4 linked regions of the Tamandua tetradactyla genome follow. The main gene of each other region encodes a partner of the protein of the gene in region 4 in a complex. Links are inferred from orthologs where the notes say so. Each region holds a gene or a part of one and is shown on either strand. Other genes may lie near its edges.

Evidence for each region.
Region 1: the proteins of KRAS (region 4) and RGL1 are in contact, whole or in part, in a crystal structure (PDB 7SCX), measured with the Homo sapiens proteins. The link is inferred for Tamandua tetradactyla from reciprocal best matches to the Homo sapiens genes KRAS and RGL1. Residues at the interface, in NP_001356715.1 of Homo sapiens: Ile24, Gln25, Glu31, Asp33, Pro34, Thr35, Ile36, Glu37, Asp38, Ser39, Tyr40, Arg41, Leu56, Tyr64, Met67; in NP_001284600.1 of Homo sapiens: Ile651, Arg653, Asn660, Gly661, Asn662, Met663, Tyr664, Lys665, Ser666, Ile667, Met668, Lys685, Asn687.
Region 2: the proteins of KRAS (region 4) and RGL2 are in contact, whole or in part, in a crystal structure (PDB 8B69), measured with the Homo sapiens proteins. The link is inferred for Tamandua tetradactyla from reciprocal best matches to the Homo sapiens genes KRAS and RGL2. Residues at the interface, in NP_001356715.1 of Homo sapiens: Ile24, Gln25, His27, Val29, Glu31, Asp33, Pro34, Thr35, Ile36, Glu37, Asp38, Ser39, Tyr40, Arg41, Lys42, Tyr64; in NP_004752.1 of Homo sapiens: Ile651, Arg653, Glu660, Asp661, Gly662, Ser663, Val664, Tyr665, Lys666, Ser667, Ile668, Leu669, Lys685, Lys686, Asn688, Arg689.
Region 3: the proteins of KRAS (region 4) and SOS1 are in contact, whole or in part, in a crystal structure (PDB 8BE4), measured with the Homo sapiens proteins. The link is inferred for Tamandua tetradactyla from reciprocal best matches to the Homo sapiens genes KRAS and SOS1. Residues at the interface, in NP_001356715.1 of Homo sapiens: Ser17, Ala18, Ile21, Gln25, Asp30, Glu31, Tyr32, Pro34, Thr35, Glu37, Tyr40, Asp54, Ile55, Leu56, Asp57, Thr58, Ala59, Gly60, Gln61, Glu63, Tyr64, Ser65, Ala66, Met67, Arg68, Asp69, Gln70, Tyr71, Arg73, His95; in NP_005624.2 of Homo sapiens: Lys602, Trp809, Thr810, Lys814, Leu822, Met824, Ile825, Arg826, Thr828, Thr829, Thr832, Leu833, Leu872, Val875, Ser876, Asn879, Ser880, Ser881, Pro882, Tyr884, Ser908, Asp910, His911, Tyr912, Lys913, Phe929, Phe930, Gly931, Ile932, Leu934.

The regions. Positions count from the first base shown.
Region 1 is NC_135330.1:38,563,983-38,570,876, reverse strand, and holds the start of RGL1 (ral guanine nucleotide dissociation stimulator-like 1), read right to left. Parts: upstream 3,006-6,894; 5' UTR 2,515-3,005; intron 1-2,514. Other genes in the region: ARPC5 (actin-related protein 2/3 complex subunit 5), read left to right, coding at 3,357-3,499, 5,796-5,877. UniProt on the Homo sapiens protein: Probable guanine nucleotide exchange factor.
Region 2 is NC_135331.1:89,235,712-89,242,794, forward strand, and holds the start of RGL2 (ral guanine nucleotide dissociation stimulator-like 2), read right to left. Parts: upstream 3,001-7,083; 5' UTR 2,484-3,000; intron 2,253-2,483; 5' UTR 2,213-2,252; coding exon 2,051-2,212; intron 1,633-2,050; exon of another isoform or gene 1,599-1,632; intron 1,544-1,598; exon of another isoform or gene 1,422-1,543; intron 1,355-1,421; exon of another isoform or gene 1,108-1,354; intron 736-1,107; coding exon 652-735; intron 420-651; coding exon 241-419; intron 111-240; coding exon 60-110; intron 1-59. Other genes in the region: TAPBP (tapasin), read right to left, coding at 4,373-4,384, 5,096-5,133, 5,278-5,367, 5,442-5,783, 6,143-6,538. UniProt on the Homo sapiens protein: Probable guanine nucleotide exchange factor. Putative effector of Ras and/or Rap. Associates with the GTP-bound form of Rap 1A and H-Ras in vitro.
Region 3 is NC_135343.1:10,348,690-10,355,628, forward strand, and holds the start of SOS1 (son of sevenless homolog 1), read right to left. Parts: upstream 3,011-6,939; 5' UTR 2,968-3,010; coding exon 2,881-2,967; intron 1-2,880.
Region 4 is NC_135333.1:88,116,115-88,123,042, forward strand, and holds the start of KRAS (GTPase KRas), read right to left. Parts: upstream 3,017-6,928; 5' UTR 2,843-3,016; intron 1-2,842. UniProt on the Homo sapiens protein: Ras proteins bind GDP/GTP and possess intrinsic GTPase activity. Plays an important role in the regulation of cell proliferation.

The sequences.
Region 1 (6,894 bases), on a different chromosome or scaffold from region 4:
CCTATTATAGGATCATGCTATTAAAGTTTCTTCTAACTAATAAGACCCTTGACTTTGCATCATCATAGAAAATTAGAAGGAGCTATATACTATCATGCAGCATTAACTTTTAGAAAATTCACATTCTGTCTCGCTTTAGTAGTAGTCCAAACCAGGTTATTTACATAAAAAATCAAATGTCTCAAAACCTTATGGATTCTTTAGTTCAGGGTCAAGTACTCATCTTGAAATGTAAAATAGGGAGACTAATATTATTTACAATGAATTAAATATCATAGTTAACATTAAACATTTGGAAATTTGCAAGGAAGTGGGATAATGTGTACAATGTGTATTTCCTAATTAAAAGAAAAAAAGATAACTAAGGATGAGTCTCTTCACAAAACATCTCCCTAAGATTTATAAAGATTTAACTATTAGCTAACGTGGGTATTAATGTCTATTCAAAAACACTCAGTTTTTAAATATAATTCCAAAATTATATTTGTTCCAAAACTTGTCACATCATTAACTCATTTGATAGAAACTTATTGAGCACCAACTATGTACCTAGGCACTTAGTTCATTGTGAGACAGTAAAAAATACTGCAGTGGAAAAAGAACCTTTTTGACATCTGAAATGTAGTATGTATTTTGAGGCTAAGAATTAATTACATTTAACACATTCAACATACAGTGCAAAATTCTGAGCAATAAAAACCATTATACCCTTGAGCAACCTCGATTTTTAAAAATTCTCCTCACTGTTCCCTTTAAGTTGATTTTTACCCAGTAAGTCTTTCTCAGTTCTAAAATAAGAGAATAGAAAGATTTCCTAAACAAGACTTAATACAAAAGACTAGAAATGTAAGAGAAGGGATTATTAACTCTTGAATCCTTGTTGCCACTTACTCTCAATAGTGCTTTTAATGCTCAATTTTCTCTTCAAAGAAAATCCTGAATTATAAGAACAAAAAGTACAATCATCTTTAGAATCTAAATAAGTATGTTGTCTAGCTCTTACTAAAATTAGCAGAAGATTTAAACTGAGAACAAATATTAAAACAAACCTTTATTCTAAGTTATATAACGCCATTCACCATAAGCAATAATTTTGTATTTTGGTATCCGATATTTTAAAATAAATATTACTAACAGGTAGAAAATTTGTCTTTGCTGTTTTACAGTCCTAGGGGAGTTTGTATCAGTATATTTGTTTAAAACTTGAATGTTAATTTAAAGAAATGCCACTTTCTGTCACCTAAATGACATATCTTCTAGAAGGGTAATTTAATCGAGAAATGAAAAATACCACATTGTTTTCCTCTCCCAAGGAAAAAAGATGCATTCAATTCCTGAGATGTCTCTCTCTCTCTTTCTTCCTCTCTCTCTCTCTCTCTCTCTCTCTCTCTCTCTCTCTCTTTCTCTCTCAAAGGTTTGAGGTCTCTCTTCCTTTTCTTAGTGATTCATTATTCTCAGTATGTTTTCAACCTAACTGCCTTTCACACTTCATTTCTCCACCAAGCATTTATTGAGTACCTTCTGCAAGCTTAACTTTATGACAGATGTAAAGAAAGGTAAATATATATATATTTATCTATCTATCTATCTATCTATCTATCTATCTATCTATCTATCTATCTATATGGTCTGTCCTTCAGAATTTTGCAATCTCTTTTGGGGGCAAGTTAAAACATAATATATCATTTAGCAATTTATAAAGCTAGTCCCCAAATCAATGGTACAGGTAACATACATTTTACATTAATGCAGAATTTTAGCGCTTCAAAACACTTTTGTGCATTTAATCTTCATAAGAATCTTATGAAATACACACCATTATTCCTATTTTAGGCATGAGGAACCTGAGATTAAAAATTTTAAATTGCATGCCTCAAGCAGATTATAAATTGTAGCCAAGACTCAAGTCTGGGTTTTTATGATTCTAAGCCCAGTGCTCTTTTCAATACACCACAGAAAACCAGGTATTGAGTTATTCAACAGGGGCAACAGTCAGCCTTCTGCTAACGGAGGACCTAAACTGGATCTGATAGAATGGCAGGAAAATATGAAGCCACCTGAGCTGTGTCCAGCTAAATGTTCAAATTAATTTTATTCTGCATATATTTGAACTTTTAATTAATTTGTACTTCACTGTAATACATACAGCACAGCTACCTTTTTTATAGTGGCTTTACCTCAATAACAGCTCTAGTCTCGGAAATGGGGATGCCAAATATAATAAAAAGCTGGCCTAGTAGCACCATATAAATCATAATATAAATATTATAACAATATAAATATCATAAATATAAATATTAAGGGTCTCATTTCTACGAATCCTAACACATTCTGTTTCCCCTCAGCACCAGAGAGCCTAACTTGCCCCCACCCTCCTCTAGCATTCTTGCTCCAAACCACCACCTATTTTAAGATGTGAATAATGACTGACCAAATTCTACAGGTTCTCCGGTTTTACCACCCAACCCCCGCCCCTCCCAGCCACCTTCCCCTCCTTCCCAATGGACACGATACCGAGTTCAGCTTCTGCAGGTCCTGTCATGATGTTGTCACACAGCACTGAGAAATAAAATACGACCTTTCGACTCCGTCCTTGGGGACCTCTCGTTGGCCGCACGATGTAGTTCTAAACCCGGGGAGGGGACCTAGCTTGGGAAGACCGTCCCCTGAAGCGCGGTGTCCGAAGCGATGTCTCCGACAACTAGAACGACGCTGGGCATCCGGGCGTACACCACTCCTCCCCATCCTCCTGCCAACTGCAGGGAACTCGGTCCGGCAACCAGTCCATCTCACCCCATGGGTAAGGCCAGATCAGCCGGACTTTACGCAGAACTCCAATGACAGCTCAGCCGGGAGAGCAGCAAAAGCCAAGGCCGCCGGCTCCTTGCGCCCATAGCCTTCAACCTCGGACCCCCCAGACTGGACCGCAGAGAAGCGTTTCTATGGGAACCCCCTCGGGATTACGTGACGCTTTCGGACAACCAATTGCCTGTTACCTTTGGCAGCGGTACCGCTTTTCGCTTTGCCTCCTACTCCGCCCCCTCCCGCCCCCGCCTCCTTCAGCCAGCCCCGCCCCTTTCCTGCGGAGAGTCTGCGCATGCGCACTGCGCACTCCCTCCCTGCCGCGCTCTCCTGGGGACAGCGCCCGGGGCGTAGGAGGCTGGAGAAGAGCGTGAACCTAAGGAGGAAGGAGCGGGGCCACCGCGCAGGCCCAGAACCGCCTGAGCCGCGGCTGCCGGCGACGCCCCAGAGCGGAAGAGGGAAGTGAAGGCGCAGGCTGCGGATTCTGCTGGGTTGGGGTTGTTGAGGAGCGGTCCCCACCAAGAGGAGGCCTTTGCCGTCGGTCCGCATCAGGGATGTCGAAGAATACGGTGTCGTCAGCCCGGTTCCGGAAGGTGGACGTGGATGAGTACGACGAGAACAAGTTCGTGGACGAGGAAGACGGAGGCGACGGCCAGGCCGGGCCGGACGAAGGCGAGGTGGACTCCTGCCTGCGGCAATATCCTTGCGTCCCCCGCGCTCCCCACCCGGCTCTTCTCTCCGGACCCCGCCACCCCGCGGGGTCGGAGGGCCAGGGACCCCTCCCGGGACGGACGCGGAGCTGCCCCTGCGGCGCGCGGGTGGAACCTTCCTGTTTGGGGGCCCCATTCTGAGGAGTGAGAGGTTCCCTCCGATTCTAACAGAGCCGCCTCGAGACCTCAGGGTCCCAGGCTGGGGAACCTGCCCTTCCGAACGCGCCTTCCACGCGCCCGGACTCCTCAGGTTGCTCCGGGAGTTCCTGCCTCTGGGGAACAGGCTTCGCCAGCCTCGCCCTCGCTGCGCTGGGGAAGGAATTAGGTGCCTGTCGGTAGGGCTGTGTTTTCTCTGTGCTCTCCCTAGAACGGTCTTTACTAGACTCGCTGTCGCTCCAGAAATTTCGGATCGGGGAAAGGGCATGTTTCTTTAGTGGCTTTGTTTGTTTTTGTTTTTTTCTTGCGTTGAAATAGTTTCTTCCTTGCCAGGAGGGATACCGCGGTTCGCAGAATGAGATCCTAGGTCTTTTCAGCCCACGACCTACTGCTGCCTTTTTTTTTTTCCTTTTTTTTTCTTTTAAGAAAAAAAGGATTTGGCAAAATACAGCTTGCACAAAATTTAACTGAGGGGGGGGCATTTAACTGAGGGGAGGGGAGTGAGTACAAAACAAAATTCCCAAGAAAGGAAGCTTGGAGTGCTTTACCTGCTCGAGAAAAGGTTGGTAGAAAACGGGGAAGACCTAAAGAGAACCCGTGGATATATTTAAAATAAATTCCCGTGAGTAAAATTGAAGAGGAGTCGTTTGTATAAAGCAGAAACATTTTTGGAATCCCTAAAATTGTTTCCGTTTTAGTTAAAATGTGACTGTCAGTGCCTGGGTTTTGGTTTTGCGTATTTTGAGTAATCATATTTAGTTATTCGCATTTGCATCATATCTTTTTAGAAAAATGTAGATGTTGCCATACAAGCTGCAGTTTTTCAGATTTTGGGGGGCTGAACTTCATGCTTTTCTAATTATTCCTGTCCATAAAAGAAGGAAGGCTTTTCATACTCTTTCCTCATGCATGTTCTATTAAATTATAATGGGGGAAATATTTGGTACAACTATATTTGGCTTTATCAACGTACATATGTTCCCTTGATTTCTTCAACTTTCACAATCAGTTACGATTTTGCATTATTTCGATATTTGTGATATGTTTTGCATCTTAAAAAATGAACCAATCTACAAGAGGCATGCTTCGCTAGAAGTTTGAAAATAACAGTTTATCACCAACCTTTGAGTTTTTTGGACAGACTTTTTTCTCCGGAAGATAAGTGGAAAATATTATTCTTTTTGACATTCTTTAGGATGGATAAATCAAGTTTTGTAAGACTAATTTAGCCTATTTTAGATTATTTGTATGACGCTTAAATAATAGTGCTGTAGTCCTCTCAGTGGATCTGATTTTTAATCAATTTATCTTAAAATATAAAGATATCTCTTCAGCCTTTGTTATGAACCAGGGGAGATAAGCCTGCCTTCTCTGAGGGAGCCCAGCACTAGAGATGGAGGAAATAAGTGAACTTAGTGGTTTTCCTTTTAGGGGAATGACTGTACATTCTAATAGTCTGATTGGCCTTCCGTTTCTCATAGTAGCTAACCCAGTGGTGCTTTCAAAGAGGCTAAATGTAATAGGTATGGGCTAAAACAGTTTGAATGATCTGAAAGAATATATCCAAAACAGAAAAATTAAGCTGCCACCTAAGGGTCGTTTGTGTTATTACACTTTCTGTGATGTCTCCTGTCATCAATATTGAGAAATGCTAATAATATTGTTGAGATGCCAGGGTAATCTACCAGGATTTTCTACCAGAATTTCAACTATTATAGAATAAAGTTTTGGTAAAAGTTTAATTTTTTTTCCTAGTCATAATCACATAAAAAAGACATTTTGATTGCTAGGGGACCTAATAATTCTGATATGTATTTTAGGGTTTAATACCACTCTGGATATTGCGTGCATATGTTTCCCACGGGAATATGAAAGGTTATCAAGGTATTCATTTGCTATTTAGAACCAAAGGTGAAAAGTCTTTACAAAAAAATAATGTAATGTTCTGTTTTCAGTAGTTTACCTTTGAAGGCCATCTTTGAAACTGGCACATTGAATTTTCCAATAGTGAACATAGTGACTATAGTAACTTTTCCTTTTTATGTAAAAGTCAAGTTATAAAAACCAATGGTTATCAGTAGTTATAGTGCTTTCCTAGGGGCTATCCTTTGCTTTTATCTCCTTAACCTCCATCACAGGAAATATGACAGCTGCTCTACAAGCAGCTCTGAAAAATCCCCCCATCAACACCAAGAGTCAGGCGGTGAAGGTGAGTCACTGACAGCCCAGTGATCTCTACTGGGATCTTATCATTTGTCCCCAAATCCCCTGAAGTTTCACAAAACCAGCAAACTATTTTAGCTATTCACTGTCTTTGACTTAGAAGAGCTTACTATTTAGATTTGAAAAATTACTCTTTAATATAGTTATGATAATGCATGGTAGGTATAATAAGTTCAAAGAATTCAAATGACAAATCATTCCTGTGTGTTTTTAGAGGGGGCCACACAGGTTAAATTTGAGCAAGGGCTTGAAAAATTAAGCTTTTACAGAAATGAACATTCTATTTGCTTGCTTTTTAAATATATTTTGTTAATTATACTAGTATTAAATATTTATCATAGAAAATCCAGAGTTCTATAGAGAGAAAAAGATAATCGTCCATATTCCCACCACCCAGCAATAACTTGGGGGGTATATGGCTATATGCGTATAAATTTTTTTCTATTAGTTTTTTAAAAATAAAAATGGAATTTTATAACCTACTCTTTCAATTGTATAGTAGTGTACATAGACATCTTTCCCCCATGATGTTTATTTCTTTAACATTTTAAATGGCAGTGTATAAATAGGCTTCAGTTTATGTATTAACTAACCATTAGTTCTACATTTAGATCGTTGAACATTTTTTTCCTATTATATCAGTACTGGATTGAATATTTTTTTAATAAATTCCTGAATTGTTTCCTTTGGATCAACTCCTAGAAATGAATTACAGGGTCAAATAGTGTACATTTTTTTAGGGGTCTGATACATATGGTATTACCAATTTGCCCTTCAGAAAAGTTGTACAATTTACATTTCCAGCAATGGTCTTTCACTAGTTATTAAGAACCTGTCTACTGACTAATTTATTATTTATTTATATTTAAAATTAAGCCCAAAGCATTGATCTCCGCTGCCAGTGGCTGTTTACATATACTAGGAGACTCAAGAATCTCCTTAAGTAAAAAGCAGTTATAACTTAAGTAAATGCATAATAATTATCTAGGCAACAATTTATGTA
Region 2 (7,083 bases), on a different chromosome or scaffold from region 4:
AGAGGTCAAGCTACAGGTTGGGTAGAGGAGACTGAGGTTAAGGGTCAGAAGTCACTCACCCTGTTGTCCTCTCTAGTTCATCACTTGGATGAGCTTCAAGGGCTTCCAACCTGGGAAAGGGAAGATAATCTATCTGTCCATTTTCCCTCAACTCCCTGTGGCTTTGGATATTTTGGTGGGATGCTTTGGCTTTAAGAGTTCCAGAACCTCCCATTCCCCTGGCCCATTATGACCCCTGACCTGTCAACAACAAGTCCCAACAGGGCAGGAGTGGAAGTAAAGGCCCGGTGGGTGGCCAGGAAGGCTGAAGTGAAGGTCATGTCAGTCCCTGATGTCCGAGAATCCAGCAGGTGTCTCACCAGGGCCTCCAGAGTGCCAGCTCGGAGTCGTCGGGAAGAACGGGGGGGTGGTGTGGGGGCCTGGGGGATACAGAGGGCCAGTCCTCACCCTTCCCTTAGGTCCCTGGAAATTATCTCAGGCCTAGGAGATGATCCAGGTACATTTTACTGAGATTCAGAGAGGGCAAAAGACTAGGCCTAAAGTCACACAGCAGAGTCCAGATCTCCAAAACATCAGGCTAGCATTCTGGCCAGAGGAAGAGGAACTGAGAGGTGATGGGTCAGAGGTAAGAAGCCAAAGTCATGATCTCACCAGGGGTTCAAGAGGCTGGTATTGGCGACTTGTGACAGTAAAGGTGGCACCATCCTCCTCTTCCTCCCAGACAGATACAGGGACCTGGAGGACCAAGGAAGGGGAGATCAGACAGTCCCACACCACCCCCAGCCTTCACACACCACTCCCAGGCCCTACCCCTTCCCTCAGTATCCCTCACCTGCGAAGGCAGGGGATAGTACCAGCGTGTGCGAGGGGTGGGGGGGGCTGGTGACCCCAGGTCTCCCCCACTGGGGCCCAGACAGCCCCCCCCCAACCGCCTCAGGGCCCGGTGGAATCGAGGGAGTTGGAGAGGAGGGGTGCTCGGAGTGCAGGAACCCTGATCCTGGAGACCACCAGAGCCCCTTCCCCCCAGCGCTAAACCCAAAACACAGCAGAGAAGCAGGATACCAAGTGCAGGCTGAGGGAAAGCGAAAGAGGCAGAGAGGCAGAGACCTAAAGAAGCTGAAACCTCAATCACAGGCACCACCACATGCCCCACCCTCCCCTTGTGAGGGAGCAGCCAAGCTCAGTCAGTCTTTCCTCCAGGTCCCCTTTTCCCCAGGTCTCTCAGGTGGGGCCTCCGCTCTCTTTCTCGCCCTGGGGACCCCCAACTCTAGTTGGCAGCTAGGATCTCAGTACAGGAAAGAGAAGGGGAAGTGAGGATGGGGGGGGCGCGTGCGCTCAAGGAGTCACGTGGCCCCAGTCCCTCCCCTCCCCCCCCCCCCTCAATCCCGAAAAACCAGCCCAGCCAGTCACCCGGCCCTCACCGAGCCTCTGAACTCAGGAGTCCTGGGCCTCCGGCCCCATATCCAACTCCTTGACCCTCCTGAGGCCCCAAATCCTGCTCCTGGTCACCACCATTAGTCCCTAAGGAAAGCCAGTGACCACCTCCTACCCAGCCTAGGATCAGTCGCTCCAGAACTTTGACTCCCAGGCCCTTTTACCTAACTCCTGCTCCGGGGAGGGGGGTGGGGGGCGGGGTCACGAAATCTGCGGGTAGGGTTCCCTCCCCAATCCCAGAGTCAGTGGAGCTGGTTACTGTGGAAACAAACCCCTCCCCACCAAACAAAAAAGGAGGAGGGAGACAGGGACCAAGACAAAGCTGCCGGGATAAGCAGCCGCACTCAGACATAGCCAGAGGCCCGCAGGTACAGCCAGCCAGTCGCTCCAGGCGGGGACAGTACAGCTTCCTGCGCGCAGGTCTGAGTCACACTGATACACAGAACCACAGAGGCGCCGGGACTCCCTGCGTAAGGGAGACGGGCAGACACCCAGCGAGAGGCGCGGAAATAAATTAAAGCAGGGAGAAAGAGATGCAGGGGCACAAAGACACCGAAAGGTGGAGAAGGACTTCGAAATATATACCGCCCTCTACCTCCCACCACCCACATCTCACCTCTTCTTCTTCCTCCTCCTCCTCCTCTTCCTCCTGCCCCCCGCCCACGCCCGGGCCACCCGAGCCCCCACCCTCTTCGGGGTCCCGGCTCCGGAAGCTGCTGAGCACGACTCCCTCGGGGGGACTCGCGTCCAAGAGCAGCCGCAGGGGCCGCGGGAGCATGGCCGAGCGAAGGAATCAGCGGGATCGGGCCATGGGGCGCCTGGGGAAGAGACAGGGGTGGGGTGTGAGGGTCAGGAGGTCACGAGGGGGCCGGGCAGGGTAGGACCGCGAGTGAGCATCTAGGTAACCGGAGGGGAGTCTTGGAGGGGAGGCTGGGGGAAGAAGGCAACACAGGGGAGGAATATGGGGATTCCTGGTGCATTTTGGGGATGAGGGGGGGTCACGAGTACCCGGACGGACAGGGAGGGTCACAGGGTGCTCAGGCTCTAACCTGCTCGGGAGGGGCGGGGGCAGCACAGGTCCTGGGCCGCTGTTCCAGTCGGTCTCCAGCCCCGGACCAAGTCCCCTCCCCGGCTTTTCCGTACCCCCTCGGATTCCCCTGCTGGGCTCCAGGGCCTCCCGCCCTTTCCGTCCTATCTCCCCACCCCACCCCACCCCCCCCGCCCCGTGTCCGCTCGCTCCTAGAGCAGGCGGGAGCCAAAAGGGGAAGGAAGTGAAGACAGGAGCCAGGGCCGCGGACTAGGGGAGCGCCGACTCCCAGGGTCCGGGACCCAGGAGCCCTGGCTTCCACCGTGGTCCTCCGGCCCCCCACTCCAGGATCCTGGAGCCCACGTCGTCCCGCAATGAATTGGGATAGATTCCAGTCTCCAGTCCCCGGGGAAGGCAGGAACCGAATTTGCCTCGCCACCAACACCACCACCAACAACAACAACAAGGCTAAGACCCCCGCAGGAAGCGTTTTAGGCGGAGACCCGGTTATTCCGCGCCAGCGGGGTTACACTTTCCACACCCACCCACGCATGCAGCGGACCAAAATCCTGTCCGGGATTTTTGAGTAGTCCTCGGTTCCCGCCCCCTCGTAAAGGGGCGGGGCAGGAAGCCGCCACTTCCGGCTCCAGGGTTTCCGCTGCTTGTGGCCGGGATCTCCGCAGCTTTTTGGTTACCCGGGACACCCCGCTTCTTGAAGGCCCCCTATTCGTCGTTAGTGGCGTCGGACCTCAAATTTTCTCGAGGAGAATGGGATTGGATAGTTCCCAGGCCTTTAAGAGGTCAGGGTGGTTAGGGCAAGGGTGACTGGAAGGGTCATTGTACTTGGAAAGGGGGGCCGCGAGGAGGAACTTGAGAAACCTCGTTAGAAGCACGGAAACACAACTTTATTCCTGCAGGGTTTGAGCCATTTCTCCCGCGGGCGACCTGCTCCCCCTAAGGTCCCTACGCCGAATCGCACCATCCGTCCTGCAGTATCCTGCAGCTATTTGATAAGCATTTTCCCATGAGCGCCAGACCCCGTGCTGGTGCGGGGAAAGAGCAGTGGACAGATAGGCTGAATTCGAGGAACCGACAGTTCGGGAGGGGATACACGCATTTAACAACAGCTCTCACAATCACTTAAATACAACCATGGTGAAACGTACAAGAGGGTCACTAGGCTGCCTGGGTAATGCCAGCGACCTGGTTTGGGGGCCCAAGAAGGGCAAGGATGGGCCTGGCAGGAGGAACAACGTCCTGGGACCCGGACATGGGCGGAAGACATTTGGCTCTTTAGAGGAAAGGAATGGCCGTGGGTATGATGAGCACTGAGAGTGGGTATGGAGAGCACCTAGTGGTGTTGGAGAGGTAGGCAGGTTCCCAAATGCTCCCGGGAGGCATGGGCTTGGGCAGGAAGGCTGGATTCAGCCCCTAGAGCAGCGATTCTCAAATTGTCTGGGCATCCCAGAGACTATTTGAGGAGTTATGCGAGGTTAAGACTATCTTCATAATATTTATTTTGTTATTTGCCTTTTTCACTCCTCTAAGTGTACAGTGGAGTTTTCCAGAGGCCGTATGATGTGCATTCACATCATTGCTTTCACTTATGTTATTGTGTTTTAAGTTCTGTTTTAATTCCTGGTATGGTAAATATCAATAGTTAATAACCCACATAAGCAAATGCTCTTTAGGGTCACTGATAATTTTGAAGAGGTCCAAATGCTAAAAAGTTTGAGAACCACTGCCCTAGAGCTCTAAGAAAATGACCATCATAAGATTTGTATCTTTTAAAAAAGCACTCCAGCTGCTCAGTGGAGAAAGAATTGGAGGGGGTAGGAACAGATGTCTTCTTCAGCAGCCTAGGTCAGAGAGGATGGTAACTTCAGCAAGGTAGTGGTGGGGAGGGTACCCTCACTGTGCTTTCTGGAAATAGAAGAAAGAAGGAGGTGAGGAATTCAGGGTTTGAAGGCAAGGAGAGGTGGTAAGGCTTAGTCCAGAAAAACATGAATCATCATGGATGCACAGAGGGTGGAGCTCATATTGTGTGTTTTCTGTCTGCCAGACACTGTGCTGAGTGCTATATATGCACCCTCTCCTTAAACAGCCCAGTAGCTCTCTGAGGCTGCACTGTCCAGAAACCACTACCCTCATGTGGCTAATAAGCATTTGAAACGTGGCCAATCCAAATGGAGATATGCTGAAAGTATAAAATAAACACTTGTTTTGGGAGATTTAGTACAGAAAAAAAAAAGACTATGATTCCTTATATTGATTACATATTGAAATAATGTTTTGGATATACGACATTAGACATTTTTAAAATTAATTTCACCTGTTTCCTTATACATTTTTTCAATGTAACAAATAGATTGATTAATTGGACAGCACTCCCTAAGTAATTTTTGTTATCCTGATGTTATAGACATCCAAGGAAACTGAGAGCTGAGCTCTAGGTTAGGTAACTTAGTAAAGGGGTCCTATAGTTCAAGATGTTAGTGGCAGAATTTAACCTAGGTCTGTGTGGATCTCAAGTCTGCATTCTGCTCACTACACTAGTAGCCTCCCTCCATGATGGGTTCAGGGGAGGGGATAAAATTAGAAGGGAAAGATAAGGAGAGGTGGGGATGTAGTTACCTTTTGTTTTGAATCCGTGGAAGTGGACCGACAGGCAACTGTGGAGAGAGTTTGAGGGGTGGGATGGAAAAGTGGTAGGGGGGGAAGAGCATGGGGGGGGGAGAAAGATGAGTGTTAGGCTTATGGTAGTGGGTGGGAGAGTCCGCGAGTCGGGGGTCACGGTCGGGGTGGGGCTTACTCACCGATCCAACCCAAAACCTTGAAAAGCCCGAGGAGGAGAAAGGCAGACAAGAAGAGGCCCACGCCGTCCTCCAGGGAGGGCCCGGAGAGGCCTGGCAGGCGGAAGGGATGAGAGTGAGCTCCCTGCTATCCCGGACCCCCGCCCCCAAGCGCTCCCAACTCTTACCTGCCACCTCCAAAGTGACCTCGGCGCTGCGCCCCAAGGCGGGCAGACTGGGGTGGTGGACGCGACAGGCGTAGCGTGCCCCATGCTGCTCGACAGTGGCCGGGGGCGGCAGCAGGTGCCCAGAGAGGCTGACAGAGCCATCCGAGTGGTGGCGCAGGGCAGAGAGCCACCTCTGGCCCTTGACCTTCCGAGAACCGCCCTCGGGGCCACCGCGGAGTTCCCACTCCAACTCCAGGCCATTGGAGGGGTAGAAGTGGGACACAAGGCAGACCAATTCAGGGGGTGCCTCCCCCGGAGCAGCCCATACCAGAGGTGTTGGCGTCAGGGACACTTTAGGGGGTTCTGGGGAGAGAGTAGAAAACTGGCATCGGAGTAATCAACCCACGCTATCCTCCCTCAGAGATCCTTAATTTGCCTTCACCCTCCCCAAACCTGAGAGGGTTTGGGTTTACTCCCCCAGGATGGGGAGCCCACTGTCTCCCCATATAATAATATGTATTATCCTTCACATAATTACCCATGCCAAAGCCCCCCAGATTCCTAGGGACTCCCATCCCTTCCCATTACCTCTCTGACTCCCAGGGATCCCTATCCATCTCCTCTCACCTAAGCACTCTTTTCTCCATCCTCCTCCTCTCGGTGGTCCCTTAATACCAGTGCCCACTCCCAACCATGGGAACACTTGCCTCCCTCCTACTCACTGTACACAGCAAGCTCCAAGGTGACCTGTCCTTGCAGATATGGCAGGTGAATGGTGGCCAGGTAGGTGCCCTCCTGGAAGGGTCGTACTGCAGGCAGCTGGAGGGTCCCATTTCCGGTCCATGGGCCCCACGGTTCATCGTCATCCCAAGCAGCAAATGCCACTGCCCCCTCTCGGGCCACTGAATTCTGCCCATCTAGCCCAGGGGTTGCAGTAAGGAGCAGTCGCCCCTTACCCAGGTGCTGGCGTCGCCACTCTAGCCCAAAGGGAGGGGGACCCCGGGTTGGGGATGTAGCCTCAGGGGTGGGGGGCATGTATGCGAAGCTCAGGTCCAGCATGACATCCTGGCCCAGTCGGACCTGAGGAGTGGGAGTGTGGGTGAGGACAGTCAGCACCACTGGGGAAGATGGGGGTGGGGTTCCGAGTGGGAGGACACATGGGAGAGAAAGGAGGGGAAAAAAAATAGAGAAATGGAATTACAGGGAGAACTGAGCTCCAGTTTACTCACCCCTCAAAGAATACCTTCTTTCCTGATGCACACCATTTCCCAGTCCTCCCTGCAAATCCCCTTAGCTCCACAGCTGGGACAATAGGGGCAGTACATGGGTGCAGCCCTTGAAGGCTGCTCTGTACATGCAGCCCACTCAAGCTTTCAGACAATGGGATCTGAGGGTACTTCCAACACCTCGTGAACCAGTCTCCACGTGCTACCCTTGAAGAGCTGAGCCTTTCTTGGTTGCTGTTGAAGACAGTGGTGACCCATGACCTGCAATCCTTTGGTGCTGGACGGAATATCTATTGACTCTGGAAGGTTCCAGCTCGAGCCTAGACCTGAGTACAGACCTCCATGTTCTACTAGGGCAGTGGAGAATGAGGGTTAAGTGCCTGGAACCTGGCTGCCTTGACTCAAATCCCAACTCTGCAGTTTATTTACATGGCCTC
Region 3 (6,939 bases), on a different chromosome or scaffold from region 4:
CAGTCAGTCCTACCTAGCTAAAGCATAAAGAACATGAAAGGTTATAGTAGGCAACCTAGTCAGAAAACCAGGATGAAGCTACATCAGTGACCACCACCAATTCCATGCTAAAAAAGGTGGGGGGGTGGGGGGAGTAAGTGGAAGGGAAAGAGGTGATGACTTTAGTTTGGAAAGTACTACATTTAAAGGATATGAAAGAAGTACAAGTACACAATATCCTTTTGCCCATTCATTCAAATAATCTGAGTGCCAAACAGTGCCAGGCAATATTTACATGGGGGATAAAAGGATGCTTCTGTTTTAAAGGAGCAACCTATCTAGTTGGGGGGACAGAAATAAATAGGAACTTAAAATTCACTGTTAACTGCTAGGGCAGGGTGCTAAAAGAAAAAAGAAAAAAAAAGAGGAGGGACATCCAACTCAGTCCTAAGAACTCTCAAGTTGAACGTGAGTCCAGAAGGAGGAGCAATGTTAGGCCAGGCAAAGAGGGGCAGTTCAGGTGAAGGGAACAGCATGTCCAAACAGTCTCAGGTAAGAGAACACAAGTTGGGCACATCTTGTGTTAGGTCAGAAGGATGAATTCAAGATGTGAAAATATCCAAATGAAATATCCAGGAGGCAAGTGAAAATGCAGGTTTTGGGTTCCGAAAAACACATCCAAATATGAAATATACTTTCAATCTTTTCTTAAGTGGCTTAGAATCATTGTTAGTTGGTGTCTGAATGAGAAATTCCAAGAACCTTACATATCAGCTAGATTGTATACACTTACACCTGTTCACCAACATTTCTACTGTTATTACGTATCTTTGCTAAAAGTCAAACACTGGTTTATGTAAATACGCCAGATGAACTGGTGGGGACTGTGGTAATTGGAGATAAATGTTCTATTTAAAGGGGGCAGCCATTTACTAATTTCCAGTCATATACTTCCTTGCATGAATGTAGACCCAACACTGAGAGATCTTTCTGCTCGTCAAGAAAGTTTCAAAATTTAGATTTTATATGCTCCCATTTTTAAATACTGGCAACTAATTACATTTGAAAATAACAGCTAATTGGTATTTCAGAGATAGAATTCCTGCCTACCATGCAGAAGACCAGGGTTTGATTCCCAGCCCATGAACCCTGGAAAAACAAAACAAAACATTCAGCAACTGGTGCTGCAATGACAGGACAGTCACATGGAAAAGAATGAAATGTGACCCCCACCACACAGCATACAAATAATAACAGCCAAACGAAATGTTCTTGTAGACAGAATTCAGCAAGGCCCACCAGCACAGCAGTTAGACCAGGTCTGCCAATTTCTACACTGCTTTTTCTATCCTGCCATATGACCCTTTGGTTCCCTTGGAGTAGGAGTTGTGTCCTTCTAAAGCAAAACAGCCCCAAATTGCTAATGTTCTCTAAGGTTTTTTTTTTTTTTTGTATGTTTTGAACAGTTTTTCTGTCTACCTCCCAGTCAGAATATCTTCTAGCCTTTCCTACTCCCTTTTCTGTTGTAAGCTATCAGGCCAAGCTTTCAGGTAAAGCAAACGTAAATAAAGTGAAAACCTGATGGTATTTCTAATGAATAAAAGATATATTCTGTAAATCAACTCCTTGGTCTTCTTAGAAAACAGAATCACAGAAATATTTATGACTAATCAAACTTGAAAAAAAAGGGCGGCAACTTAAATCTGAACTATATGAGCATATTTTTCTACAGTTAGAGATGGAGGGTGGAAGGCAGTTAAGAACAGGACAAAAGGGAAAGTAAAAGTTTCTAGCCTTTGAGAAATAGCAGACATCTTTTAAGATGCATTTTTTAAAAAGCACAAATGTTTAGTACAAAAGGAACATTGTAATCTTAATTCTCAGTGGGAGCAAATATGTACATATATATTTTTTTAACAGATAACACAAAACATTCTTTGGGCAAAAAAAAAATTAGGGTTTTGAAATACTATTAAAAGAGGAAAATAATCTCTATACTTATAAAAAGGTAAATGAAGGAAACAAAAAGTACTCTGGTTGCTTTTAAATCCATTCAAATACACCAATTTCTGAGGTTTTAATAGAATATGTGTTTTTAAAGTGACAACATTGCTTAAGGAAACTTTTAAAATTAGCAACATTTCCTAATTATACTAGAATACTTAAACGATCTGAAGAGAAACCAGAGTATACGAAAACATTTAAAAGAACAGATCGTAGGATATAACTTTAGATAACTTTAGATAAGTGTGGCACACTTGAAAAGAAAAAAGAAAAAGCACATAAAAGGTTAACACTTGCAATCGACAAACCAAAAACTAGTACCAAGATTCTCGAACAATCAACGACCACAAAAATCTGAAGAGTGGCCTTTGCAGGCGCCCGGGTTGACCCGAGGGGTGGGGGATTCAGGAGAATGGGGAGTGAAGACTGAAGGCGAGCGGAGCAGGCCGTGTCCCCACTCCTGCTGGCAGGCGAGCTGTGCCATCAGAGTAAGCATCAGGGCCAGAGCACTTCTCGAGCCCAGTAAAACAGAAGGCTGACAGCAGCTACCGGGTGAGGGGGAGACGGAGGAAAACTGGCCTGCTTTGACCTCCACGGAAAACTGAGGCTCCTCCAACTGTAGCCTTCGAATCGAGGCGCAGGGCATTAATCTCTCAGCGGTCGGAGGATTCCTACGAAATCTCCGTGGCGCCCTGCGGCCTTCCCACACACCGGCCGAACGTCAACGGCGAGGACTAGCCGAGTGTGGGGGGCCCTCTCAGTGCGCACTGTCCTTTCCGAGAGGCGGTGAGAACGGGAAGAAAGCCAGCCCAGCGCGCCCCGCCTCCCCAGCCCTGCCCCGGCCGGGCAACCTCACCGGGGATGCAGCTGGGAAGCGGGGTCCCGCGCGCTCCTCACCTTTTTCAGCGCAGGCACCAGCAGACCCCGCCACTTGGGCGCGTTCTCCTCGCTGAAAAACTCGTACGGCAGCTGCTGCGCCTGCATGGTGCCCCCCGGGCGCCTCTGGGCTGGGAGGGGGGCGGCGGCGGCGGCGGCGACCAGACCGCGGAGGGAGAGGGCGAGCTCGCCGCGCCGAGCAAGGCCGCGACCCCGCGGGACAGCCCGGCCCCCTCGGGGCGCCGCGCGGCCCGGCTAGCCCTGACGGCCCGGCTGGGGGCCGAGGCCCGCGCGCGGCCACCTACCCGACACTGGCACTAGCCGAGGAGAGTGAAGGCAGCCCGGAGGCGGCGGCATGCCGCACCACCGCCCCAGGGCCGAGCCCCCCCACCCCTCCCCAGCCCGCCGGCGCCGCCCCGGGCTGCCCTCCGCAGCGACCGACGCTTGCCCGCCGGGGCGGCGCTCCTGGGCCCGGCCTGGCCCAGCGGCGGAGCCGGCGGCGAGGGGGAGGGTGTGTGGAAGGACGCTCAGGCCGAGGCTCCCACTGCGAGCAGCTGGGACCCCGAAACGCGCAAGGCCCCGGGCGGGGCGGAGCTGGGGCCGGGGTCTAGCGGGGGAGGGGAAGGGCCTTGGATCGCTGTTGGGGAATCCGGCCGCAGTGAGGTGGTGCCGCCGCCGCCGCCGCCGACACCGGTGTAACGCTCCTCGAGCTTCCTACTTGCGAACTGAACCTGCTCACCACTGAGCATGCGCCGCCGGGCTGGGTCGATTCGCTCCGGGTTTTCGGCCTCTCCAGTGAAGGCCGAGGGAAGTGCGGAGGAGGGAGGGCTCCGGGCTGTGCTGCCGCTGCAGCCCAGGGGGCTGCCGGGGAGGGGCGGAGAGGCCCCAAGAATTCCGACCCCAGGCAGATTGGGTCCCCAAGAAGTCCGACCCCGGGCGGACTGCGGCCCTGCGGCGGTGGGGAGCCAGGGGGCGGCGGCGACCTACGGTGAAGCGGCCCCCATTGGGTGTTGGAGAGATCTGGGCCTTTCGTTTCGTTCCGAGGTTTTAGCGTATGTGTACTTTGTCCCCGACCGTGAAGATAAGGACTGCCCAGAACATGTACGATATAGTAAACAGACTGGACAAAAGATAGGATCCCTTCTCACGAGAACAAAGTGTTCAATGTTCGTGGGGTGGTAGAAATGATTGCAGTGTTTCCAGTCGGTCTTTCCACATACCTACAGGACAAAATGTGGACACGTAGTATTGAGTTTCTGTTATGTGTTTTCAGATTCAGTCATTTCATCTTTCAAACCCATTTCAAATATGCACTTCTCCAATAATCTCTCACCTTCAGTGGAAACAGACCTGTTCTGCAGCTCCGGGAGCACTTTACTCATGCTCCTCTCAGGACATTTAGTCTATAGTATTTTGTATCTTTACTCTTTAGACTAGATAATAAACTCCTGGAAGAGCAGATCTTTTTCACCAGGAGCTCTACACAGAATAGCCTCGTGGTAGATGTTTGTGGAATGCTAAAGGAGCATGATCTCTAAATTGCCTCCCCATCCTAGCATGCAAATATTTGTTTATAACAGTGGCACTCTGTAACCGTCTCATGATTTATCATTAAACACATTTTGAGCACTATCCTATTTAATCCTCATAGCAACCCTACTGTTCTCGTTTCACAGATGAGATCTCATTTAGAGAAGGAGTCGGGTTGAAGGTGACATTTACTCTATCTCTGAGAATTGCCAGGATCACATTGATGAAAAATGCTTAAGCAGTGGCTCTTAATCTTTAAAGGACCTCTTCGTGGATCTGAAATAAGTCTTGGTCCTTTCCTTTTAAAGTGGTCACACATGATTTACATGTTTAAAATGTTCCCACACTTTCAAAGGGGCCAAAATAACATTTTGAAATCTGTCCATAAACCCTCTGAATAAGGAGTAAAGAAACCTTAGCTTGGAGAGGAATTGGAGGCACAAGCAGGGGTCTCAGAGGATACCATGTCAGCCATCTTCAAATACCTAAAGGACTATGATATGAAAAACTAATTGGTTTGTATGGTTCTAAACGACTGATCTAAGCTCACTCTTCTGCCATGAACTCTTCCTTGGGCTTCCCGTTGCTCTGAGATTACATCTCCAAGGTACTATGGCCCACAAAGTCGTGCATCTGGCTCCTGCTTACTTTCTCAACCTTGACTATCCCACTCAGTCACACCGGCCTTTCATCCACTCCGAGAAAACACGAACCTCTTCCCTGCCTCTAGGGCTTTGCTCTCTCCTCAGCTTGGAACTCATTGCTCCTAGCTGTGCACTTGGCTAGTTTTAAACCTCACATCCGAAGACACCTCCTCTGATCACTCTAAATAGTTCCTGCTTATTTTTTTCTACAATAAACCCTATTTATTTCCTTGCTAGCCCTATTATCACAGCCTATTTTTTGGTTATTGTCACTTCTCTCCCCTCCCCCTGAAATGTAAACACCAAGCGGATCAGCAATCGTGTGTGTATAGTAGGCATTGCACTCCCAAGATCTACGGTGCCTGGCACATAGTAGGTGCTCAATAAATATTTTTGAAAGGGTGAAAGTTGTATGGAGGAAACTTCCAAGAAGAAGACTACATAAACGGGGAGTCGTCGGAGGTTTACAACTACACATTCACTCACGCGGTATATCGAGAAGGGCTAAGAGGTTGGACTTGAAAATCTCGGAAAATGCCTCTCACCCACTGGCTCCCCAACTCCGAGTCTCTGATTTTATCGCAGAGGGAAACCAGCTCCAAAACTACGGATTTCAGCCTGGACTGGACAAGCTCAGAGACCGGGGCAGGTTTTCACTAGTATGGATATTTAGGCCGCAGGCTGAGAGCAAATAGCTGGAGGAAATTTGCGGTGAAGACACCCATTGCTTCTCAGCTGAAAGACAAGGGGGCAGTGGGGCCAGGCTCGGCGCCGTTAAAGTCAGGGAGCACTCCAGCTCCTCCGCACTGTTCGCCTATTTCTCGTTTTCTTGGGACAAAACAAAACACCTACGGACGTGAGACCAGTCAGCACCGCCGTGGCGCGGAAGCCCCCTACCGTCAGCCTCACCAGCCAACTGCGGCGCCACGGCGCAGGCGCCGAGGCTGCGGCTCACGCCCCTCTTCAGACCCAAGAGCCCCGCGCCAAAGCGGACGGGACGCCCGGGAGTGAATCCAGGCGGACTAGCCGAGGCCCGAAGAGGGCGCGTCCAGGAGGTTTAGCCGAACTTCGAGCGTGCAAGTCGGAACCGGGACACTGAGGAAGGGGGCGGGGAAAGCGTTTGGCTCCACAGCTCGCCCCCTGCAGGCGGAAGGGCGCACTCGGCGCTTTACCGCACGCGGCTGGCCTGGACCGCGCTGCGCGGTTCCCTCCCGTGCAGTGACCGCACTCTTCTTCCTGAAGCATCCTTCAGAACCCGTTACTCTCCTGTTCAAGAGCCTCCACTGGCTCTTCAACAGTCCAGAGTCCTTAGCCTGGAATTCATGGCCTTGAACGCTCGGGCCAACACTTGTCTTTCCAACTGTATCTCCCACTGGAAATGAGCAACCTGTTGGCTCCTACACATCCATCTCTTTTCTGCTTCTGTCTTTTTCATACACCGTTCCATCTGCCCGGACTGCTCAGACCCATTTTTCTCCAACCCCACGCGCCACAGCCCCACCTAACCCTCTCCCACCATACACGGTTGTTAGGTCGGGGGAACAGGGGTCACCAAGACTGGAGCTGTGTAAAATGTGCCGCCCCTTCTAGACGTCACCTAACCCCCTTGCTTAAAACCCGCCCGCACCAGGACCCAGCGGCAAACTCACAACTCCCTACCTTACGCTCTGTGAGCTCTGCCCGGGAGCGCAGAATAAACTCGCTCACTTTAAAGTTTCTTGGTCCGTCTCTTCTCTCTTTTCGCCTCCTTAACCTTACATTTTGGTACCCAAAACCCGGGAGAAGAGTGCGGGTGCTGCCCGCCTGGCCAGGGGCGACCCGGCCTCCTCTCTCCTCTTTCCTCCACATATCCAGCGACCAGGGAATCCCTCGGCCGCCACTGCATCCACCACAGATCGGGTAAGCC
Region 4 (6,928 bases):
TATTTCATTTTACCTTTAGAAGTAAAATGAATACATTTAATTTTATCTTCTTTCTCCCAATAAATACATGGTGCTATTTATAAATAAGGAATGAATGTAGAAAGAATGCCAGTAAATGCAAATAATTTATTATAAGGTAGTTCCAAATTAACAAACATGTATATACTGTGGATAAACACTATAGACCTGCAGCATCCAATTTAACCGAAGACCAAGAATTAGCTAAAAAGCGCACACATATACACAGAAAGATAATCTGGCTTGTCAAATGATTTACTTTTTCATCTTATTCCTGAGCCCTCTCACAAAGAGCACTACAGACAAGAAAACTGCTGTTATCAGAGAACTGATGTATTACAGCTCCTGGCCCACTTCTCTGCTCCATCTGTCCTTACCTGTTGCTTGTCTAGTGCTACCTTGAGAGTCACTACAAACATGACTTATCCTGTTTGCCCCTACTTTTGATTCTAAGTGTAAGCCATAGCAAATGGAACAGATGAATAGAATCCTACCAAATGGATCCTCTCAACCCACTCCCAGAACAGTCTGGATAGCTAGAACAGCAATTCTCAAAGTGTGGTCGAGGAAGCCCTCAGGATTTGGGGGGGAAATGAGGAGCCAACACTATTGTCATCATAATACCAAGATGTTATTTACCCTGTTTACTCTCATTCTTACACAAGTGTTCAGTAGAGTCTCCCAGATACGAGATCACTGTAGACCGAATGCAGAAGCAGAGATGAGAATCCAAATCTCTTTTATTAAGCTACACATTAAAGAGACTGGCAAAACTGCAAAGCAATGGCATTCTTCTCACCAATTTTTGTTTTGGTTTTGAAAAATAGCTATTTTTTATAAAGAATATAATTATCCATGTCCCCCTGTAATGACTTTATTATTTATTTCTAAAAATAAATTAATAAATTTAAATTCTCAGTTTTAATTTATAATATGGTAGATATTGATAGATATACCCCACACAAGCTTCTTGGGACCCTCAACAATTTTTAAGAGTGTGCAGTTATCTTGAGACCAAAAAAGTCTGCTAACCTAGATGATATGGTGGATAGATATTGGATTAGAGCTCAGCTGTACATGCATGTGCAGATTTGGAGAAACACACACCTTCCAATCTACTTATTTATACAGTGGTTACTTCAGGGGGAAAAATCCTATCAGATTTTAAAAACCAAGTTTTATTTAAATCCACTAGAGAGAACTAGGTTGCAAAAGACTCTTATTGAAAATCATAGACCAGAAGGGAACCCCCTCACCGAAAGTTACAAAAGCTAGAAAGGGGTGGAACTGGGACCAGAACCCAATAATTTTGTTGAAAAACAAAATTATCACTTTTACTTGTCATAAAATGGAATTACCATCTATCAGCTCTCTGAAAACCAAGTACACCTGTGGTGCTTACAGCTTCAAAGGGCCATACTGGTATCAATCATATTTGATTTCTATAGTTATTAAATTCAAGTCAGCATTTTGGACATTAGTCACCTAAGAGTGGCACCAGTCATAAATGGTAAACTCTGACGTGATTAGGAATAGACTTTTCCCTTTATAATTTCTTTTTAAGTGAGTTTTTTTTCCATTACAAACCTAACATATATACTGGATAAAAATTAGAAATACCTTTCTAAAATTAGAAATACCAGACTTAAAAGGCTAGCTTAGGACTTCAGCTATAACATGCACATACCAAGGAGTATTTCAGGCAGTTAGTTGGCTGATTACTACAATTACTCCTCTTGTAAGCCAGTTAAAAGAATCATGAGTGCTGTTAAATGAAGTATTATAATAACTCTTGGGACGGGCAACAAATTTGTATGGATGAGGGTAAATAGAAGAGAGGGGGATAAAGGAAAAGAGACAAATTAGACTTCAAGTACTATTTTAGCTATTGCTTTGTACACCCTTCAACTATCAAGGGAAAAGCCCTGCTTCTGCTCTATGGGTTTTCTGCGTGTGTTTTAACTTGACGAAGCAAAACAGACCTCCTGGGACTAACTTTTTCCTTTTCACTGTAGATCACAGGTTCGTTCTTTACGTGTAGGGTGTTGGCCACCTGTTCTTCAACCACCATCTCTACCTCCACCTCCTCCTTTGTAGCCACAGCAATGTCACAGCCCATACATGGGGGAGGGGAGCAGTCAGGAACTCGGCTGCAGATGCATTTTTTCCAAACACAATAACCTCAGACAGTGGTCTCAAAGCACTTTTCTATGCTCTTCCAAACCGTGATCTCTCTTTACCCACACATCCCCTACAAACTGGAAAGGACCACTATCCATCCACCGTACGCTCGAGGGAGAAGTTTAAACCTTCGTCCTAGAGATGCTAGATGCAGCAGAGAAGACAGAAACCGAGGCGGTCGAGCGCTGGGAAGGGAGGAAGAGGTGCGGGAGCCGGGAGAGGGAAGGACGACGAGGGGGAGGGGAGACGGCAGCGCATCAGTAGTAACCACCAGAGCACCCCACCGCCCCACCGGGCAGCTGACCCGGCCCGCGAGTTTCTCCCCGGCCGCCTCCAGCCGCGGCTCTCGGGGAGGAGGAAGGAAGGGGTTCCCCGTCCAGGAAGCAGCAGAAGCGGCGGCCGCCTCTAGCCTCACCCTTCTCAGCCCCGCACCGCCCATTCCTCACTGCCCGCGTCGCCGCGTCCCCGCGCCTCCCCCTGCAGACCTCCGCCCGCCCACCCGCCCGCGGGGACTCCGCGCTGGCGCCCCCTCCCCGCCTCTCCGGAGACCCCTAATTCATTCAGTAGCCGCCGGCCCCACCCGGCGCCGGCGAAAAGGGTCGGGACTGGGGTAGGGGCCCAGAGAGGGTGGTTCGCGCCTTACCTCTCTCCCGCACCTGGGAGCAGCCGAGCCTCTGGCCCCTGCCCGCCGCCTTCAGAGCCTCTGCCTCACTGCTAGCTTCCAGTCCGAAATGGCGGGGGCCCGGAGTACTGGCCGAGCAGCCGCCACCGCCGCCGCCACCGCCGCCGCTGCCTGAGCCGCCGCGGCCGCCGCCTAGGAAAATCGAGCGCCGAGCACACTAATGAGTTCGGGGCCGGGCGGCCGCAGAGGGCAGAGCTATCGATGTGTTCCGCGCTCGATTCCTCTTCAGGCCAGCTTGCGGAGAGAGAGCGGCCGAGGGTGGTGTGGGAAGAGGGAAGAGAGGGAGTCGGCGAGCGCCGCGGCGAGGAGGGGGAGGCCAGGCCGGTGGAGGAGGCCGGAGGCTGGACGGGTGTAAGGGGAAAAGATAGAACGGCCCTGTGGTGGGGGTGGGGGGGCTAGGTGGCCGTGGGTGGTGCCTCGCTGGGAGGTGGGGCTTCTGGGGCTGCGCGCCTACCCGCACCCCACTCCTTCCCGCCTCCTAGCCAGGCACCCGCAGGTTCGGACCCGGACGGAACTGCAGTGGTTACCTGCACGCCAGAGACGTCTGAGCGATCGCAACGCACCACTTACACAGAGAGGCTACAAAAATCCTGTCATCCCTCGGATCGGCCAACAACCGTGCACCTTGAATTACCATCATTTATTGCATGTAAATAAGGGAGTCACCAAATGTGAAAAGTGGCTTCAGTGACTTAGGAAGAAACTAAGCATTCATTACCCATCCTGGGGCTTTCTGATCACTTCATGATTATTGCGAAGATCAGCACTCAGAGGCTGGGAATCTAGTCCCAGGCTCAACAAACATGACATGTGACAAACCTTTTAGTCACTAATCTTAATGGGGGGGGGGGGGGGCGGGGGAAGAAAATGTCTTTCTTGACATTTTTGAGGCCATCAGAAGATCGCTCCAAAACGGGACCTCAAATGTAACCCAATGCCATGAAAGCCCAAGCAGAACACAAACTGTTCTTAAGTAGAAGTGCCCTTGACAGTTAAGGCCTAAAGAGAATCATTCAAACATTAATTAGAAGACTGAAGATTAATCAGTTAAGTTCATGAGTTATCCACATTAAACAAGGTAGCGATTAAAAATGTAAACCTATCCCTAGTCTGCTCTGATTAGATACCTAGAAACATAAATTGTTCTGGAGAATTTTGAAGATTCAGGCGTGGCAAACCAGCACCTATACTTAATATGATCACTCCTCTGAGTTCCAGATCTCTCCCCCTAGTTCATATCATCCAATACCAATAAAATAATTTTTTTTTAAGTTCCAGCTATTATGTCTGTTAAACAATGCCTTACACCAGCTGTCACCCTTTACTTCCTACCGTTTACATGGACTGTTAATCAGCAAGGCTTATTCCTGTCTCCCTTGCCTAGCACCCTGGTACCAGGTAGAAGAGGCAACAGAGAAGAAGCAGAAGGCCAGGAAGGGAAAAGAGTGTGCCTGATCTATAACAAGTATTTGCTAAATGTATAAATAAAGTATTGCAACAATTTCATTGAGTAGAACATTTTTTCTCTATTTTACAGGTGAGGAAACAAATTTGGAGAAGTTAAATATTGAGCTCAAGTTCACACAGCTAAAATGGGACGTATCTTTATGTCAGATCATGTACTCCTGCTCCTAACTCCCCACTGGCCCCCTTGCACTTAACACAAAAGTTCAAGTCCTTTCAAAGACTTAAAAAGCCTGAGAGATTTAACCCCACCCCCCCACTCCTTACCTCTCTGAACTCTCACTCTACTATTCTTCCCTTCCTTCCTCCTGTGAACACACACACTGTTTCCTTGCTGTTCCTTGAACCCTTCAGGCAGGCTTCTTCTGCAGGGAATTTGCATTTGCAACCCGCCATCTGGAACATTTGTCCACTATATATCCACAAAACTTACTCCTTCACCTATTATAAATCTTTGTTCAATGCCTTCTTTTAATGAAGTCTTCCCTAAAGATCATCTTTGATATTGAAATTTCCCCCTCTACCCTCAAATCCTTTCTCTCCACCTGCTTTACTGTTCTCCAGAGCACTCATCACATTCTGATGTACCATATAACATTTATCTTTGTCTCTTTCCCATCAGAATGTGAAGTTCAGTGAGCACAGGGATTTTATGTTTTACTTACTGCTATGTTTCCAGTGCCTACGACAGTCTCTGACACAAATAAGTCACTCAGTAAATATTTATAGAATGCAAAATGAATGAGGCCTTCCTTCTAAACTCTGACTCCACTTGAACAGAGTCACTTTCTGTCATCTCCGTCTTACAAAAGTCAACCTTTAAACTCATCCAGGTCACCTTTCTGATAAACCACACGCTAAGGAGCCTAGAAAAGTGCCTGGTACACAATGTACACAATTAATTTGTATAAAGTGAATGAATTTGCACTTATTTATATGTTGCTTGGTACTGTAGAACATTTATTTTGTGCAACTTCAAGTACATGGTAAGCTTTTGTATTCTCTCTCAGTAGCTAATAGAGTTCTCCCTATAGTTGATGTTCCATAAATCTTAAAAGGACTATAGTTTAGAGGGAGGAAATAGCTTTATATAGCACTTTACGCTAATTATAAACATTCTGGCATTAGCAGAAACCTAATCCGTCCACATGGTCTCATTATATCTAGAATCTCTAGGCTCATGATTCCCAAAGCAAATCTGTGCCCCACTATTCCCTCATGCACCCTACACTCCAACTTCACCTCTTCTGTTTTGCTCCCTCAGCGTTCAGTCCTGCATGCTTTTTAAGGAGCCAAAAGCCCGACCACCACCATTGCTCCCTTTCTTTCTTTACACAGAACTTAGAGCAGTGGTTCTCTAACTTCAGTGCTTCTTGAATCATCTGAGATGCTGGTTAGAAACTCAAACGCTTAGGCTCACTAGAGAGTCCATCCAGTTAGTTTAAGGTGGGCCAGAAATCTTTAACGATTGAGGGGATGTTAGACTGTTGGTTAGCAGTCTGCCCTTTGAGAAACTCTGATGTAGATATTCAAATTCTTCTCATCTCCTCTTGATATCTGTACTTTCTGCTGTCTTTCGGGGTTCCTCTCCCCCAAGCCTGGCCACTGTGTTGAATAGTCTCCCTGGCTCTCCTTTTCTTTGCTCTCCCCAAGGACAATCACACAGACCTGTACTATTATCACAGTGGGAAAAGAGAAAGAGAATAACAAACAAGTATAAACATGGGAATTCCAGGTTGCCCTAAGATGTAACTGAAGTTTCTACTGTTATACTCTTGTGCAAAAGCAGCTACATACACACGTGCACATATGCATATCGTTCTGATCCTGTTTTATGGAGATCATGGTGACCCTTTCCTTCATGTGATAGATACCCCCTTCTGTACATACACAAACTTCAAAACAATAGAAATAACCTTGGGTTAGCTTGGCTCTTCTGGGATATAAAAGGCTGAGATATATTCAGAGTGCTGCAGATGCCAAAGGATTGTTTTAAGGAAACAAGGACATTTTAGAAAACTAGACCATCAGTCAGGGAACTTCTGTTCAGTTCAGGGGTCAACTTCAGTTCTTGTGACCCCAAAGTCCCATTCATCCCCTTCAATAAAAAGCATCTATTGCTCCTTCTTTAGTAGTTTTTCTATTCTCATGAATCAGCATCTCTCTGCTTTTTCATCTATAATCTCAGCTTCTTCTGCTGTCTATGCTTCTACTGACCACTCTCTGTGACTTACATTCAAAAGATCCCTAGAGAAAGGATTTAGCTGCAAATGTCGATCATTATACAAAAGGAAGGTTCTTTATGGGATGCAATTTTCTTTGACAGGCTGCCTGACTGGTGGTTGGACTTCTTTATGTTTGGTGGAGACCATTGCCTTTGTTTATTTGTGAATCTTGGGACCAGAATAGCAGTGCACAGACCAGGGAACTTACACTGGAGGAGCCAACTGTGGAGGTTCTCATGGATTCCACTTCAGAACAACCTCTTTTCTCAGGTGGCTAATTTGTACCACTGAGTAGGTGCTATTTAGTTCTCTTACCCAAGACATTATCTCCTCTGGAAACTTATTTCATTAGACTTTG